Bombyx mori: one gene and its partners. The protein of the gene in region 1 purifies or fractionates together with the protein of each later gene. This does not show direct contact. Links are inferred from orthologs where the notes say so. Each region holds a gene or a part of one and is shown in the gene's direction. Other genes may lie near its edges. The genes, in order: tyrosine-protein kinase CSK, paxillin and tensin-1.

Region 1 (5,885 bases):
TGCCCGGGACGACAAGCAATGGAATGTCCACCAGAGCTACCTTTTCAATTGTTTCTGGAACATGCTAAAACAAAAAAAACTTAAATCTTAACTTGAAAATCAATAAAATTTTCATTTCAAATTGAATTCATGTTCAAGTAGTTATATATATTGCTGCCTTGCTTCGGGATCGACGCTCCCATACTCTTTATATTATGCAAGATTTAAAAAGATAATTCAATTAATCACGGAGTTCTTCTAGATTTACAAAAACAAATATTAGAGTAAAAAGAAAACAAAACACTACCGTTAACATTCAATTATCATCTGTCGACTTGATAATGCTATCACGATAACGTTTTTGTTATTAAATGAATTTAAATAAATTTTAAAATTATGTGAATAGAAACCGTAATGCTGTCGGCGAAGGTCGATTTTACAACTAACTCCCTTTGCAACTAATTGATAAGGATCTAACGTCACGTAAACTATCTCGTTGATAACGTTTCATTATATACGTTGGAAGCGAACGAAGCATGGAGAGCGACATTACGGAGTGTTATTATAAACCACACAAAATAAAACTGTGCATACCACCGGTTATCAACTATGAACCAACGGAAAATGAGTAAATTGTTTTGATGTTTTTTTTTTTGAATTGGCTACATACATTTCTAATATTTTCATTGATTCATTAATTTATTTATTAATTCAATAGTTGTCAGTTTTGTACTTGGATGTAAATTCCCAGATGTAAATATAGTTTTGTATATAATATATTGCCTTCACTTTTTGGTAAATGTATACTCTTACCTTCATGCTTTAAGAAAAGTTGGAATACAAATAAATTAATAATGTTGTTGCAGTAAAAAAATATTTATTTAAATAAACATAATACAAAAGGATTTAATAACGAAAATTATTTTAATTAAAAAATGTAAATGACAAACAAAATATACTTTTCTTTGCATGTTATATAATATGTGATAGGTTAGGTTAGTTTGTAGTACATTACAACTTTTTATTACCCTTGTAGGCAGACGAGCATACGGCCCACCTGATGATGAGTGGTTACCGTCGCCCATGGACTTCAGCAATGCCAGGGGCAGAGCCAAGCCGCGGCCTACCGCTAACCTAGCGGTGCTAGGTGCAAGTGCTCTCTAGCATTTGCGATTTCGTATTTTGTATGCCATGCTCACATTTACCAAAACGACATGGTCATTGTGAATTCAATGTACATTTTCCTTCTTTGAAATTGTAAATAAATGCACATTTCCCAAACGAAGAGGAAAATGTGTACATTTGCCGCAATATCTACTTTGACCGTAACATATATAAAGTTTGAAATGAAGATGTTTTCGTTGTAGATGGCATCACGGCGCGATATCGAGGGAGCGAGCGGAGGCGTTGCTCTCCGGCTCTCCGGACGGGGTTTTCTTGGTGCGAGAGAGCACTAACTTCCCAGGAGACCACACGCTGTGCGTCCGATTCCGAGGAAGGGTGGAACACTATAGGTTAGAACTGTGATTCAAAATGAGGCGAGGACTTTTTGGCGGGAATGCGAGGAGTGAAGTTGTGTGATTTGTTTTATTTTGTCTATGTAGTGTTTCTTCAGGTTTAAATGTGTAATAACGGTGGTTTATTAACTGTTTAATATCTGTAAAAGTGCAGAAATGTGGGAAAATGAAACAACGCCGCTGAACGTAACATCTCGGGATCATCCAAAAAGCACTAAAAAAATCTGACCCCCATTTTACGGAGATTATATTTCATTTAATTCCATCCCAGTTTATTCATGTCTCAAATTAATCATCTTCATTTCACTGCATATTATCATTTTTCATAAAAATAAAATTAAAAATTAAAATAAGACTTGACCTAAAGGTCTTAGTTGCCAGGTCATAAAATTCCTTTAAAAAATGGGGCGTTGGGGGTAGCCGTGTTTCGGACAGTTTGAAATTAAATAATAAATAAAGTATGTGAGTAAAATATGAATTGTGTGGATATTTGTGGACAAGTTTCGATTAACATTTCATCGTACGTGCTTAATCTTAAATTGCTTACCTCGACTAGGCTCTTAGCTACACTCCTTGTGTAGTGGAATAAATAGGGCCGTTTATAGATTCATTGTAGAAATAAATTTGTATTTTCCTGTCGTGGATGAGCGTGGGTTAACTCATCGCTTGTCTGATGTTAATTGGTAACAGGAACTGGTACAATGAAATGAATACCGCGGGCAACTTTGGAACTGAAGTCGAAGTTTCAAGTGTGTTGATTTTTTTATTGGTGTAGACGGGTAGCGTAGTTTATAGGCCGCCTAGTGCAAGGGCGCTACCGGAGTCCATTGGCATCACACGATCATAACATCAATCCCACCCATCTCCAGTCACACGCTGGAAGTCTTGTTGTATTGTTTAATGGATCTTTCATCTATCCAACCGGAACACATTTTTTTTTATTGCTTAGATGGATGGATGAGCTCTCAGCCCACCTGGTGTTAAGTGGTTACTGGAGCCCATGGACATCTACAACGTAAATGCGCCACCCACCTTGAGATATAAGTTCTAAGATCTCACTATAGTTACAACGGCTACCCCACCCTTCGAACTGATACGCATTACTGCTCCACGGCGGAAATAGGCGGGGTGGTGGTCCCAGAGGTCCTACCACCAGTGATTACGCAAATTATAATTTTGCGGGTTTGATTTTTATTACACGATGTTATTCCTTCACCGTGAAAGTCAATCGTGAACATTTGTTGAGTACGTATTTCATTAGAAAAATTGGTACCCGCCTGCGGGATTCGAACACCGGAGCTTCGCTACATACGAATGCACCGGACGTCTTATACTTTAGGCTACAACGACTTCAAAACAGCTTCACGGCAAAGATAAGCAGGACGGTGATAATAATCCGCGCGGGCCGGTAGAACCAATTTACTTTTAATACGTTGTAACATATTATATGTTGTTTTTCATGTTTCAGAGTAAAATGGGCGACAGCGCCCGACAACCAAAACCAACGTCTGACCATAGACGATGAAGAATTCTTCGATAACATGACGGACTTAATTCATGTGAGTGTTATTTATAAAAACATTATTTGTTGTGTTTTCAATTAATCAGATATGTCCAAACATACTTGTTCATCGATATGTATAGATACAATTTTTTCTTGATCCTTGACGATTGAAAACCGCGAGATCGAAATTTCTAGTGAATATTTTTAGAGGATCGTAAGTGACTTGTCCAGTAGTAGAAATACGACCGTAATAGCTGATACCTTAAGATTCATTTTGTATCGAAAAAATTTGTTCTTAACGTCGTCACAATCCCGTTGAAGGTATTGAAGTTGGCCGACTTTATTGTTTTGTATTTTTTGTTATTGCTTTGATGTGTGGACGAGTTCACAGTCCACGTGGTGTTAACATCTACATTCGTTTCGTTTCGAGGGTACTGTTAAAACAGAAGCTAGAACACAAATCTCGCGTGAGTGGCAGCATTTACGTTGTAGATGTCTATGGGCTCCAGTAACCACTTAACACCAGATGGGCTGTGAGCTCGTCCACACATCAAAGCAATAAAATAAATATATAATAAAAATAAAGGTTCAGTACTTATAACATCCGTAAAAACCGCTATAGACTTATATATTAGTGTATACATTTGACCGTGGCTAGTTGTATCGAGTCGTTATGACCGGTACTGATGTATAATGTACGTTGTCGGCAGCACTACCTGCAGGACGCGGACGGGCTGTGCACGAAGCTGGTGCGGTGCCTCCCCAAGGCGACGGCGAACGGCACCAACAACAACGGCGCCCCGCAGCAGCAGTACCCGCCCCACCCGCAGGTACAAGCCACTCGCACGCCTACTTTTTTTTTTATTTCAACGCTAGGGAATCCGTTTTTTTACGGATGCCCGGTCGTGAGGGACTCGCCTGCCTACCTACTGTACGGTTTATAAGTACTAGTGGTCCGGCAGTAGTCGAAATTCGACTATAATTAATTGAAACTCCAAACTTGTACACTCTGACAAAATGTTCAACAAATTTGTTAGAATTAATATAGTTGAATTATAATTCCGTAGAATAACATTTTTCGTTGCAAGCATAGAATATTAAACTACAATCGACTATTGTTTTTTTTTTTTTTTACATAACAAGACATGTAATGAAAAGTATGGTCTTTGAATGGCCTGAAAAGGGCATGGATGATGAATTGAATTAATTTAAATAATTAGTTGATTTGTCTGCTTAGTTACATGCTAGTGACTGGCCACAGGATCCGGGCTCGAGTCTCGGAAAAGCTATTCGGTGTCACGCTCTACTTATTGTTATCTCGCATGCCTCTTGTTTGCACTCGTAACCAGAATAGGGTCTAGAATTTAGACATAACTGAATATTAAACTTAATAATGCGGCGCTATCTTACTTTTCAAGTAATTTTAATTAATCTCTTAAGGTGTCAATAATACAATATGCATATTAACTTCGTTTCTGAGTCAGATAACAACCTGCGTTCTCACATCGCAATTACAAGTACACGTTTGTACGACGCTACACAATGGTCTATTGCTTGACAATAAGACATTAAATTCTATAAAATGTTATGTTTTCGTGTTCAATTGTAATTAAGTAATCACGTGGCGACAACACCTGAGGATGAATCACTGCGATTGCTTTCCATAAAAACGTTTTTGTTTGCCACACTACAATAACAGTTTATTTTTATTTTTTTGTTTTTAAATTTTGTATTAATACCAAACGTTTTTCATTGTTGTTTTGTGTTAAAGAATATAAATTACATTCATAATTTAATACCCTGTGAACGTTTGAAATTGTTTTTGATTGTCGTCCATCCATATAATTATTTTGTAAAGACGGTTGTACTATTGTTTGATAGATAACTTGTTTCTCAAAGATGATAAATATTACCGCTACTCATGAATGCTACGTGTACGAATGCCGACGTTTAACATTGCCATATCAATGATAGAGCACGACCATGGTGCTAATGTCTCAGATAGAGTAGAAATGTCATTTTTTATTCGTTATAATCGTTGTGCAATGCTTACGATGAAATTCCGGACATTAGTTCCAAATTATGTTTCGAATCCCGACTTGGTCTGGAAGACAACGCTAGGTGCAATCAAACCACCTATTGTGACACTCGTCAGCACAATGTATTGTTATACTATGATCGATACATAAGCGAGATAACATAAAGAGTAGCTCCATCCGTTCATGGATGAAGGTCACGTCAAGCAATCACCTTATACTTTTTATGACATACTAGCTTTTGCCCGCGACTTCGTTCACGTGGAATAGTTACTTTGGCGTATATATATAGCGTAAGCTCTCAAAAGGGAATTTTTTTGAAACATTCTTTATTGGTGCTTCACTTAGTCCTATTGGTCTTAGCGTGATGTTATATAGCCTATGGCCTTCCTCAATAAATGAGCTATCTGACACTGAAAGAGTTTTTCAAATCGGACCCTAGTTCCTGAGATTAACTCTTCAGCTTTATAATATTAGTATAGATTATATTCATTTTACATACTTGACCTTCAAGGCTACTACTATTAACTGGATTTATAGTAGTGCCATAAAATAACTTTTCAAACTATGAAATCTTATTTATATTATGAACGTTTGGGCTCTAATATATTAATTACATGTACAATTAAGACGTGAATACTATCGTATGTATGTGTTGATTAAGGGTCGCCGACACACGTGCCACCGGCCACAACCACAAAACGCACCCACCGACCTATTTCCTGTTGTCTTCATACATTTTGTATGGACTCGCCACACGCCACAAATCGCCACTGCTCGCCTCTAGTTGTCGGCTCGGCCACAAAACGCGCGATTCCCCACCCCTCTCTCTCTTCATTTCTTCGTCGC
Region 2 (5,885 bases), on another chromosome or scaffold:
AGGCAACGAACCGCTGCCAAATTCAATTATCGCAGTTACAAATATTGATGGCCGATAATTTTTCATTTCATTGATTAGGTATGGCGCGTACGTAAATTCTGTTTTAGAGTACATCTATACATCGTTCGTTTTTCGATGATCATTCGACGTTGAATCACGTTATGAATTATCGGTCAGTTGAGAAATTTAGGTAACTTGAAATTCATCGGTGCCTTGAGTCTTATCAAAATTTCCCAAAATATGGTAAACAAATGATTGGACCGCATAGGCATTTGTTCACGAAAACAATTAAAAATCGTTGCTCATTCAAGTGATAAACATTCGTCAGCTTACGATTTGTCAGATTTATATTGATGACTGGCTGACCCGGCAGACTTCGTAGTGCCTCAATCGATAAATAAAATACCAAAATTTTTGTATAAAATAAACTTCAAACAAACAAAAGGAATTCGTCTGACGCGGGACACATCAAAGGAAAAACAAAATTGTTACATATTTTTATTTAATTCCGAGCAATTTCATATTTATCTACCTTTTAAACCTTCTCTGGATTTCCACAAATAATTCAAGACCAAAATTTGCCAAATCGGAGCAGCCGTTCTCGAGTTTTAGCGAGACTAACGAACAGCAATTCATTTTTATATATAAAGATTTATTAATATCTTCTATTCTTAATTCAGTTTTTTAAAACGTATACATGATGTAGTATTTTATGGTTCAATATGGCCTTCGAGTAGGCTGGTGGGTGCGACCCACTCGGATGGGCGTCGCCCACTAAGGCAAACGAACAAAGAGATGTTCTTTAAAAAAAAAAAACTGCATTTGTTTTTGTAATCAATCTACTGCTTCCACAAAGAGGTTTTTGTACTGTTTGTGGTCTGAATTCCAAGTGTGGGATCGGTAGTGGAATAGCAAATTTACTTTAATTATTGTTCGTCGGGTAATCCAAATCGTTATCGCTCACACCTCTAGATTTTTATTATTTTTATGCATTACTTTTTCTCTTTTGTTTTATTGGTAAAATTGTTTCATTGTAGAGATAAAAAAAATTAATCAATTTCCAATGTTTTAATCGATAACACCAAAAGCTTGTCAGTGGCTACTAATAGAGAAATAGAAAATTTGTTGAGAAACACAGGTGAAAACGGTAGTTAACTGTTATTTCTTTACTTATTTGTAAATACATATTCAGTAGGTGCAGTCTTAATTTGTATTAAAAATTCACAATATTCCTTCGTTTCACGAGATACTATGAAGATAGTGATAAATGCAAGAAGATGTCTTGCGAAAATTTTATATTAATAACTATGATTATTTAATGAACAATTTTTAAATGCGAATAAAATATCAATAGTATTCTGATATTGTATTTCAGATCGCAAACCGCTGAATGATTCGCGTTAGAAATAGGCGGACTGGCAAAAAAATTCCCTGCTTGCTCAACCGCCCTGCCTATTTCTGCCGTGAAGCAGTAATGCGTTTCGGTTTGAAGGGTGGTGTAGCCGTTGTCACTATACTGAGACCTTAGAACTTATATCTCAAGGTGGGTGGCGCATTTACGTTGTAGATGTCTATGGGCTCCAGTAACCACTTAACACCAGGTGGGCTGTGAGCTCGTCCACCCATCTAAGCAATAAAAAAAAATCAATCGTCAATTTATTTTTTTAATAAATAATTAACCAATTTTGTTAAAGTACACAAATACATGTTTAATATATAGGTATATGTAATGTAATTTAAAGTATCTCTGTACGCGATTTTAAGTCTTGTCTGATCATTAATAGGTCACAAGACAAAGACAGCGTTGATCTGTAAAATTTACGACTATTGACATCGACTGCGTCTAGGAGTAATAAAATCATTAGACACATCATTAACCACGGAACACACTTCATTGGTTATGTTGCGTGTTTGAACTAATTTCGGGATTTATTTTTTAAATGTATCTTGCCCTAGATGATGGTAGATTGTGGTAGAATTTACCAGCGTTATAGTCATCGTTATATTATTGTCTCTCATGAGACATGAGGTCGTAGCCTCAATTGTATTTTATAATGGCTGTCGTTCTCTTCAGACAGGAGCACACAATTGTTTCATTGTTAAAGTAAACAGGATAATTATTCTTACCCCGGCAGACTTTTATATACGCCACCAACATGAGTAATTACGGAAGGGCTTATGTTTTGTGGGATTTTTATTCCTACATCATGAAAATGTGAACAAAGGCTGGTAATTTGGTTTTTTCTTCAAAAAATTGGTATGTGGCATTCGAAATTCGAGATGGTCACATCACTCAGTACATTGGGCTTCTTATTCAAGAAATTAGAAATTCTTAGTATTTCTATCGTCTTATTGTTTTGATATGATTATTAAGAAATCCACGGTAACCAAAACCGCTGTTTTTGATACTAATTAGTAAATAGAATCATGAAAATGTACAAAATACACAAAAAAAGGGTAGAACCTCTATAAAAAACCGATAACTCTTAATTTAAGTTTTGTCCTTAGTAACCCAGTTTCTGCATCGGCCGCTAATACGAATTTGTTGTTACTCCGCCATAAAATCGCGATTCGGGTTAATTCTGTTTACTCTCGGCGACCACGTGAGTTCCGCGATTGACTATTGCAGGGCGCCGCCCGCCCACGCAACGCAGACACACTTGTCTCTTATGTAAGTCGGACGCGCGAGCCCTGCGCGGCCCACGTCCATCTTCTCACCTTCTATCGTAAATAAATGGGTTAATGAAGTCAGTCCGTGATCGGTTATGAAATATTATTTCGGAAATGACCACCTGACGGGAATAGAACGTCGCGTAACTCATACGTCTGGCTCGCAGTGTGACACCGCTATCAACGGTCATCGCTCGTTCAGATAACCCTGTATTACACCAAAAATAACTAGTCTTCTTGTAGCCGCGGTCCGACCACGACTGCCCGTCAATTTTAACACGTAACGCTTTATATACTAAACAAGAGGGATGGCTACGGTGCGCACGCGCTCTGCATCCCCCAAATCGGTCTCTTTCTCTCCTGTACTCGAACGGAAGTACAGCGTGGAGAGAGGACCTTCGACTCCCCCCGAGCTGAGATCGTCGGATTGGAGGAGATACTTCGCGGATTTCAGTGCATATCTAGGTGAGTAGATCGGGTCGGTGCTGGAAACGAACGAAGTTATGAGTCAGAGAGTGCTTCAGTTGTGCGGCCTTGTTCTATATCGGATGCTTGTTAATGAAGCTGTCGGTGGTAAAGAAATGTTGCGTAATTAGTCGATGTGCAAAAATGTATTCACTTAAGATCATGAGTACATTATAATAGTTGTCTATGTAAATATTAATTTTTTTTTCCTTACCTTATCGAGCTAACGTAACGTTGACCTCTTGGTTAACACAAATTATTAAATCTGATCTCTCATAGTTTATTAACATAGACATTAAATGGCCCAGCTCGGGTATGGCAACTATCAGTGTGCTCAGTGGGAGTTTCTTAACGTTTTCGATAGCGATATATTGGAACAGCGCCCCTAGCGTCAAACATTCCAACTCCATACAAATTTGAGTTAACTTTTACGCTATCGAGAACGTTAAAAAACTCGCACTAATCACACTGATCTTATTGAAACAAAAATTTCAGTTGCATTGGTGGAAAACTCTTATTTATCAGATATATGCAGGATGGCACTACTTATCCGTGCTGGGTTATAATATATCCTACAAGTGAATGATGGTTGGCGATACACAGAACATGCGGTCGGTTCTTCATCGAATATAATCCTTTAGTCGCCTTTTTTAACAGCATTGGGGAAAGGGGTAGTGCTATCGGAATCCACACAACCGTTATAAGATACAATATAACTGCTACTTCATATCTCAACGTTGATGATGTAATTTACGTCTAAGTCCGTAGTCCTGTAACAATCTAAGACCACGTGTCTGTGAGCGAGAGAAATAAAATAAATAATAATTTTAAAAAACTAACAGAATACGCTTTTATAGAAAATCCAACTAAAAAAAAAGAAAATAAATTTTAATAAATTCGAATTAAAAATAATGTAAGTAAGAAAAAATGATTTTATTGTAAAAAAGCGTGGGGTGCTTTTCAGGATATTATCAAAATAACCCTTCTACTCATATCTGTTTTTAAAATATTTATTACTACTGATACCATGCTAAATTTATTTTCTATTTTTTATTTGGATTTTCTATAAAAGCGTGTTTTGTTAGTTTTTTAAACTATTATTATTATGACTTTTTAGTTGAATTATAATTTTTTCAATTATTATTTTTTTCAATTTTTTTTTAATATTGAATTGTCATCGATCCTTAATAATTATACCAAATTTCGAGTTAAATCGGGATGTCAAAATCATGTTCAAAGATTCCGTTATATACTAACATACATATTACGTCTGAAGCTAATAAAAGCGTATTAATAAAACGTCACGTCTTTCCGTCGAGGGAAATAAAAATAAAAACTAGATCCTTTATGCTTTTATATTCTGTGATTGAGTTCTCGTAAGTTTTCGTATCGAAGAGAACGCGCAAACCTGCCCGTATCGGTTGATCAAGGCGAAGTGTCAAACGTGGACAGGTAACCTTGCGGCGTCGGGCGTCGGCGACACTACCGCAAATTGTTATCAATACTTAGACCATAGTTTACTATTGCTCGTATCGGTTACGGCCTTATTTTGTTTACAATCCTAATATAATTATAATATTACTAGCGACCCGCCCTCGCTTCGCTTCGGAAACATTAAAACACACATGAAACGAAAAAAATAAAATATTTTTTTTTTTAAAAAAAGTAGCCTATGTTCATCAGGGACAATGTCGGCTTCTAATGGAAAAATAATTTTTCAAATCGGTCCAGTAGTTTCAGAGCCTATTCGAAACAAACAAACAAACAAACAAATCTTTCCTATTTATAATATTAGTATAGATAGTGTACATAATGCATTTTAGGTTTTTATTTGTCTGGATTTATGGAATATTTCAACTAGATTATCTTAGTTGTTTTAAAGGTCTTTTATGTATTGCTTAGACGGGTGAACCAGCTCACGGTCCATTTGATTTTAAGGTAGAGCCATAAACATTATAGCCCGAATGCAACCAATAATTTTAAGTCGCAAGCTTAAAGTAATAATATTTTGTAACAACCTCCATACCCTTCAAGTTTGAATTACTGCAGAAATAGACATGACTAGACGTGTCTGATTTTTGTTACACCATGTTATTATATTATTTTATCGTTAAATTAGCGCGTAAAAGGTCGTTAACCGTGAACCGTAAACCACTGAGTTTTTCGCCGGATCTTCTTAGTGGGTCACGATTCCGATTCGGTGGTAGATTCCGCGAAACACTGCCCTTGCTAGGGCCCGAGTTAGGAATTCGCTCAGGTCGAGCCGGTAGCTCAGCTGCGGTCCGTGCATAGTTGAAATAGCCTATTAGGCTACAAACGATTAGATAGGCAAAAAAAGTTAACAGTAGACATAGATTTGGTTATTCTCTTGCCTCTTTGGCTCTTCTCTAATGCCTATGAGTTGTCCACAGTCAGAAACCGCGCCGTGATACTCTTATTGAATCTCTTAGTAAAATATTGCTTTAATAAAACCGTAAGGCGTTTTTGTATTTTCGAGACACTAACTAACAGTGCTTCAAAGGCAGTTAGTTGAAGTGGATGAAGGGGTTAAGTACCATTTTTAAGATTTTTAAGTTTTGTCATTTAATGAAGGTGTTATGTGCTTATTAACCATATTAGACCTTAAAACTCTAGGTTTAAAGGCTATTTTTAGATATTTCATGTGATAAAAGAGTTATGTACGAAGAAAAAGTACAAGTGACAAAAGATTGCTGTCCGTTTTCTTAAAAATTACAAATTTTATTATATCC
Region 3 (6,360 bases), on another chromosome or scaffold:
GTACGTAGAGATATCGAGACAATTTGTTTGCTAACTGTGATGAAAACAAAGACTAGTCCTCTTCTCCAAACAAATCATTTAAGTGAGCGACGTTAAGTCTGTGTTATTTAGTTCTTCTAATAGTTAAGGCCATTTTTGTGTTGCTGTGCATTTTACCTATGTACGTATGTGTTTATATAAATTGTAAATATCTAAAATACCTATATTTTTACGATTAGCATACACAACCAAAGTTGTTATAAAAGTGATGGTTGATTAAACAATAATTTTAAATTAGATCGTTATGTTTATTTTAGATTATACAAAAATCTGTACAGCTGTACCATAGGTTATATTTTTTTTTTTTCGAAATATACGAAATTTGAAAAATCGACTTTCTAATTTGGATTAAAAAATGATTTGACGAAATGTTGGCAAACTTTTGTTTTAAGGAGTTTTTTCGATGGCTTATTCTCCTTATGTTCCTAGTAGCTTACTCCGGTTCATGTACTTGGTATTTATTGTCAATTATTCAAGCCATGAAGTGTGTGCCGTTTGGTACCAAAATTTCCAATATATTCGAATCGTAATGTTTTTATTCATAAAAAAAGCAGTCGTTACGAGTACATTAAATTTAAGTTGTATTTTTTGTACATTTTAGATTCGAAAATATATTAATATCTAAATAAACAGTATTTTATTGACTAATTGTAATCGAATACCGTTCCAAATTATATTTTTTTATTTATTTGAGCACTATTTTTAAATATTGTCTTATGAAGCTAAAACTAAAAAAAATGTATGTCGTTTCGTTAGACTGAATATTAGAACTTATCTCGGTTACCGGAATGGTTTGGTAAGTGTCTTTAATAATTATTATTAACCGAAAATTCGGGTTTTGAAATATACATGATTAAATATAAAAATTCAATTAATAAAGATAATCCTTTGCCGGCCATCTTCTATTGAATTACGTCCTACCAGGCTCCAGGTAAGAAAGAACCGTTATGGATGCATCGTTTCACAGCTGGAAATGGAACTTGGTATTAATTTTAGAGAACTATGGAGCCTCTTCTGAATGAACTGCCTAAAAGCGCTTCGTATCTTTTTACTTTGTAACATTTTGGAGAAGGCCACGGCAATCGCATCCCCATTTAGTGCTCACTTACCAGTGTTATGATTCAAGCCTGGCCAGGACTATTGAGCGCTACTTTCACGAATTTTCAACTAAATAAACGAAAGCAACGTATGAGTTAGATAAGCAGGTCAATACAACCGGTATGCCAACATGGGTTATCCATATCTATAGCGCCACTTTTATCTTCGACTCGACGTTAAGTGAATTAGCGCGAGTGCGAGCGCAACCCATTTTCCCAGGATGTACTTTGTCATCGCCGACCCTAATGGCACATTACTCTGAAACTAGCCTTTTAGGTCTTATCGATCTCCATTCAGAGAAAAGATAGCAGAAGCTTAATTTCAAATTAAGGTACCTACTTAACGAAGCAACTATAAATTAAGTACGCTACGCAAAGTATCTACAGCAATAATTATATGCCTAATACTTTTGTCTTCGCCGACCCCTATGGCACATTACCTACTCTAAAACTAGCCTTTCAGGTCTTATCGATCTCCAGTTAGGGAAAAGATAGAAGAAGCGTAATTCCAAATTAAGGTACTTAACGAAGCAACTATAAATAAGGCACGCTATGCTAAGTATCTAAAGCAATTATACTCGTATACCTAATACCTATGTTGTTGTTTTTTTGAACGTTCCGAAGTACTTTAATCTAGGCGATCGAAAATTTTGTAGTTGGAAGTAGTTAATTAGACCTAATTTATGTTAACAACTTCTCACTAATATGCTGCTAGCGGCGTGGCCCGAACAGGCGTGCAGTACATGATGGGATAGCATAGAGACTCATACGGTTACATACCTTATGGCCTTATAAATTCATTCTTCTATGATTCGAATAACTTATTATGTACCAATTAGAAGAATACAATTTGATAATTGTCCTTGTAACCGTTTCAGTTGTAATTAGCGTAATAGTGATTATGAAGCTTCCATCATGGCTGTGCTGGAAAACTAAAGAGCTCGTGTTAGAAACATTGCCGGTAAGTTAATTTAATGGGTTAACTCTTAATTCACGTACGAAATTCTCAATCAATTCTTAGATATCGGTCAAAAAAAACGGATTTTATGCCTGATTTCTTTCCGGTAGTGAAGATACCCATCATAATTATTTTTTGTACTAAATAATAATTATTAAAATGTACAATTTTCTAAATTATACTAACAATAAGAGGTCGTACAAAACAAGCATTCTGATATGGATATTTTATAACAATATGTTCGTTTTATTTTTCCGCCTAAGTTCTCGTTCCAAGATACTGGGTGAGTACTTAATTTCATTTAAAGTTTATATTTTTATTATTGATTTATTTTCAACCTATTTGAATCAAAAGATAAATTATGACAAAAAATATTTTATAGGAAGAAAACTAAAACCCTATTCGTCCAGTGTGTCGTGTATGGTTTTTGACACACAAAACTAAATGCAGCCCAATTCATAAGTACCTAACGAAATAGAGCACTAACTAGGTAGTAAAACAACCCCCCATCGCGGTCTTCGCTGACATTCGTATCACATCATTCCATTGGAGAGGGCGAAACGCCAACACCACATTTCGCGTAATAGAATATTAAAAAGAACTAAGTTGCTTACTCCATTTGAGATCCCCATATGCAGGTGAAACGTGAAAATCCTAATGATAGCCTTGCGATATTTACACATTTTGTAATATAGCGTTGATCTATTAAACAATAATGATTACCTCATTTTGACCTCATTTCCTGATTTAGAGAGATGCCTACATCACGTTTGCTAATATAGCCCAATTAGCAGTTTGTCGGCATTTAATCGAAGAGGTCAACTGGAATAACATCAATAAATGTTTGGCAAAGAAACATTTTTGTTCTGTTTTAGAATTTATTAGAGAACATGTAAACATTATCCAACTTTTAGGGGGGGGGTAGATAGGCTGACGAACGTATGTTTTTATTTTATTTATCGTGAAGACAGGTGAACGATATCAGGCCCATCACTACGTGAATGCCGAAACCCATGAGGTGATATGAGGTGTAAGTCTAAAATGCATAGTATCGCGGCTGTCTCATGATCAAACGGGAACGCACTGCTGCTTCGCGGTATTAATAGGCAGGGTGTTGGTCACACTTATTCGCGAGAGCTCACACGACGGCTGACCTCCAGAAATAATTCAGAATATATTTTTTTGGGTTTGATATTTATTACAACGGTGTTATTCCTGTATCGTGGATGTAGAGGTGATCCGTGAATTTGTGGTAAGACTTATCGGAAAAAGTCTTGTCTAAAAAAAGTTGCCGACATTCACGTTGAGATATTTGTGGGGTCTGATTACAACTTAACACTAAGTAGGCCGTGAGTTCAACTGCACATTTACAGTAAAAACACACATAATTGATTCACAGCAGAGGATCTAAGTCTGCCTAACCTCAATAGCAAAAATGATTCGAAGCTCACACAAATTTACTGAATCTTTACGGTACACTTGATAGCAAGTAGCCACCGTGGACATAGTTATACCAGGAGCATAGTTAAGCCGCTACCTGCTGATGGGGACTCTCCTTAAATCTTAGTGTGTTCAGATCAAAAATTTCATTACCTTTTTTTCTTCATTTAAATTAAACATGACATAGAAACTAAATTAATAAAGTACATGTTTTTTAAAAATAAAGTATAATTTCAAATATTTTTATGATACTTTTTCGCTGTTTCATTCTGCGAATCACGTTCACAGCGGGAGGTGTGCGCCCAAAAGCCGGGAATACTTGGGATTCGATTCCTGGAGGACAGGGTGCCAGTAGCCAGTACCGTGTCGAACGGTCCCGTGTTCGCGCGCATGCGTGAGATGTTGCGTATCGTAATCCGATTGCGAACATACATATTATTATACTTTGTTTGAGAACTACGTGCGCGCGAACAAATGTTAACAGATTTTAATGAAAAAAAGCTTAAAGTACTATATCGTTTTTTTTTTAAATAATGTAGTCCTTTAACACTCATAAATTTCAATTTAAAGTAAATTTAATAATAATTATTGAAATGCCTTGGAAATGTCCGTGGTCGCGCGATCGTCTAGAGCAGCTAGTGGTCAGTTCTCCACTTCACTTGTTGACTCGGGTATGTTTTGTTTTTGTAATATGGCAATGAATACACAAAGCTTGTGATTTTAAAATCATGAAGTATCAAAGATCATCAGCAAAGATGAGGAGTTAGTTTACCATCAATTCGTAGTGAAAAAAATTATTTTAAGTTTCATTACAATATTCAATAGCAAATGCAATAAAAAAATGGTACATTATTTTAAAATATCTTTATAGGTATGTCATCCCTATTTAATTTGTTAATTGTGTTACACATTTAAACATTAAAAAGTGTTCGAGTTTTTTACAAGTAATAATTAAATGCTTAAATCCGTTTTAAGAGTGTCGTATTTTGTGTTTGTCAATGTCAACTAGTCTTAATCCACTTTCATTTTAATATACTTATATACGACGTCATTATAAGTTAATATAAATCGTACATTAAACTGTAAGTGTGCCCTCGAGATATGTATAAACAATCAAAGTGTTTGTAAAGGTCGGTTGGCAGGCGCATAATTCCCAATGTATATTTTAATGGATTCAAAGTGTTCTCTGTGTTAATGTCATTTTCGTGGTCATAACGTCCGCGTGATATGATATGAATGTATCACTTAAGCTCGGATGCTTTCTCAATAATAGTTCAATGCGTAGTCCTTGTTTAATGGCACCGATAACACGGCTTTAGTGAGATTGTTACATTTATTTCAAATGGATGCTCGACATTTTTTAAATAGCGCGGTGACCCCCGAAAAGCTTTCAGATGAATATTAGTGTTATTAATAAAAAAATCTACTTTTTAAAATTACATACAGAAGTCATCGTTTTCTGTTCTTATAAAAATTACGTATGTCTATGTAGCCCCGAACTATGATTTTTCCTAAAAATTGATCACTTGAAACGAATTAATTAATTAATATTAAATAATGAAAGGGAATTGAGGCCAAAATTATATACAGTTAGTTAGGCCTATCAACCAATCGACTAGACCAGCTGTCCAAACCATTGCCCTCATATTTGTGCAGCAGAACCTATTTAAAATTGTGTCGGAGTTAAAAGAAAATGAAATTCATAAAATGTAGTTTGCAGTTTAAAAAAAAACTACAATTTTAAGTTTTGTCCTTGATGACTGTATAATATTTAATATGGCACAACACGTCGTTATTTTTTATGTCGTAATTTTTCTTTAGACTGTGGACATCCACTGGACTACCCTAGACTAGACAAAAAAACGTCAAAACAATACTTAGAGTTAGTAGGTATATGTATCAACTGTAACGTAAAATGTAGTCGTTCATAATAAATTTGTTTCGGTTTCATAAACATGCCTACTTTTTTGCTTATATTTAATAATACATATTGGATTTAATATTTAATTTCTTATCATAAATGGTCTAAGCGTCTCTTCTATCAGTACCGAGATCGTAAATATGCATTCACACTTACATGTAACCGGGTGGTGCTGAAGTATCGTGTGACCTGAGATTAGTGATGGGCGCCGGGCCCAGATCAGCTGCTGGGTGCGCGGCTCTGCTCAGTTTCAGTAGCGAAGCGCCTGTGCATAGAGACGCTCGCGTGACCGGCACATTCACAACGCCGATGTAAACACGACTCTCTACATTGTGCATTTAACATTAAATATCGGGGATGTGACGTGTTATTATGCTAATTACAGATAATCATATTACGGTATATTTAAAATGCCTTGGAACTGCCTCTGGGGATATGAACCACCCCCGCCCTGCAGAGTGAGTGGACCTATTCATCTAGCACTTCAGGTAAATTAAATGAATTAAAAAAATAAATACATGACGTGTTTTTCTGAAATGTTAAACTTTACATAATGCCATAGTGTTCAAACATACATCCATTTAGTTCTATGTTTGAACTCGTGTACAGATAAAATGTAAGGCATTTGAATGAGTGTAAAGAAATTCACTACAAGTAAACTTTCCGATACTCTTACTACCAAAAAGGTCAGTAGTAGTTTTCTTCCTACCTATTCGCTGGTAGCCTATTTCAACTATGGTCGGACGGGTAGGTGAGCTCATGGGCTTAAAGTAGTAGTATCTTTTATATCTACTGTGAAAAACTTAAACCAAGTATATACCTACACGCGTATTGTCATACAGAAACAGATTTTTGCGGATTAATCTCAAATAATGGAATAGGTTAATAAACGAATATAAACAAAC

The links.
Region 2: the proteins of tyrosine-protein kinase CSK (region 1) and paxillin purify together in Homo sapiens (affinity purification with mass spectrometry; 4 studies listed by BioGRID and IntAct, with this or other methods). This does not show direct contact. The link is inferred for Bombyx mori from reciprocal best matches to the Homo sapiens genes CSK and PXN.
Region 3: the proteins of tyrosine-protein kinase CSK (region 1) and tensin-1 purify together in Homo sapiens (affinity purification with mass spectrometry; 6 studies listed by BioGRID and IntAct, with this or other methods). This does not show direct contact. The link is inferred for Bombyx mori from reciprocal best matches to the Homo sapiens genes CSK and TNS2.

Annotation. Positions count from the first base shown.
Region 1 is NC_085127.1:9,182,389-9,188,273, forward strand, and holds part of tyrosine-protein kinase CSK, read left to right. Parts: exon of another isoform or gene 1-64; intron 65-286; exon of another isoform or gene 287-515; coding exon of another isoform or gene 516-607; intron 608-1,346; coding exon 1,347-1,493; intron 1,494-2,964; coding exon 2,965-3,055; intron 3,056-3,710; coding exon 3,711-3,830; intron 3,831-5,885. UniProt on the Homo sapiens protein: Non-receptor tyrosine-protein kinase that plays an important role in the regulation of cell growth, differentiation, migration and immune response.
Region 2 is NC_085116.1:14,644,539-14,650,423, forward strand, and holds part of paxillin, read left to right. Parts: intron 1-830; exon of another isoform or gene 831-2,913; 5' UTR 2,914-2,978; coding exon 2,979-3,135; intron 3,136-5,885. UniProt on the Homo sapiens protein: Cytoskeletal protein involved in actin-membrane attachment at sites of cell adhesion to the extracellular matrix (focal adhesion). Recruits other proteins such as TRIM15 to focal adhesion.
Region 3 is NC_085110.1:9,739,126-9,745,485, forward strand, and holds the start of tensin-1, read left to right. Parts: upstream 1-1,879; 5' UTR 1,880-1,962; coding exon 1,963-2,097; intron 2,098-3,888; exon of another isoform or gene 3,889-4,127; coding exon of another isoform or gene 4,128-4,205; intron 4,206-5,690; exon of another isoform or gene 5,691-5,865; coding exon of another isoform or gene 5,866-5,943; intron 5,944-6,360. UniProt on the Homo sapiens protein: Tyrosine-protein phosphatase which regulates cell motility, proliferation and muscle-response to insulin. Phosphatase activity is mediated by binding to phosphatidylinositol-3,4,5-triphosphate (PtdIns(3,4,5)P3) via the SH2 domain.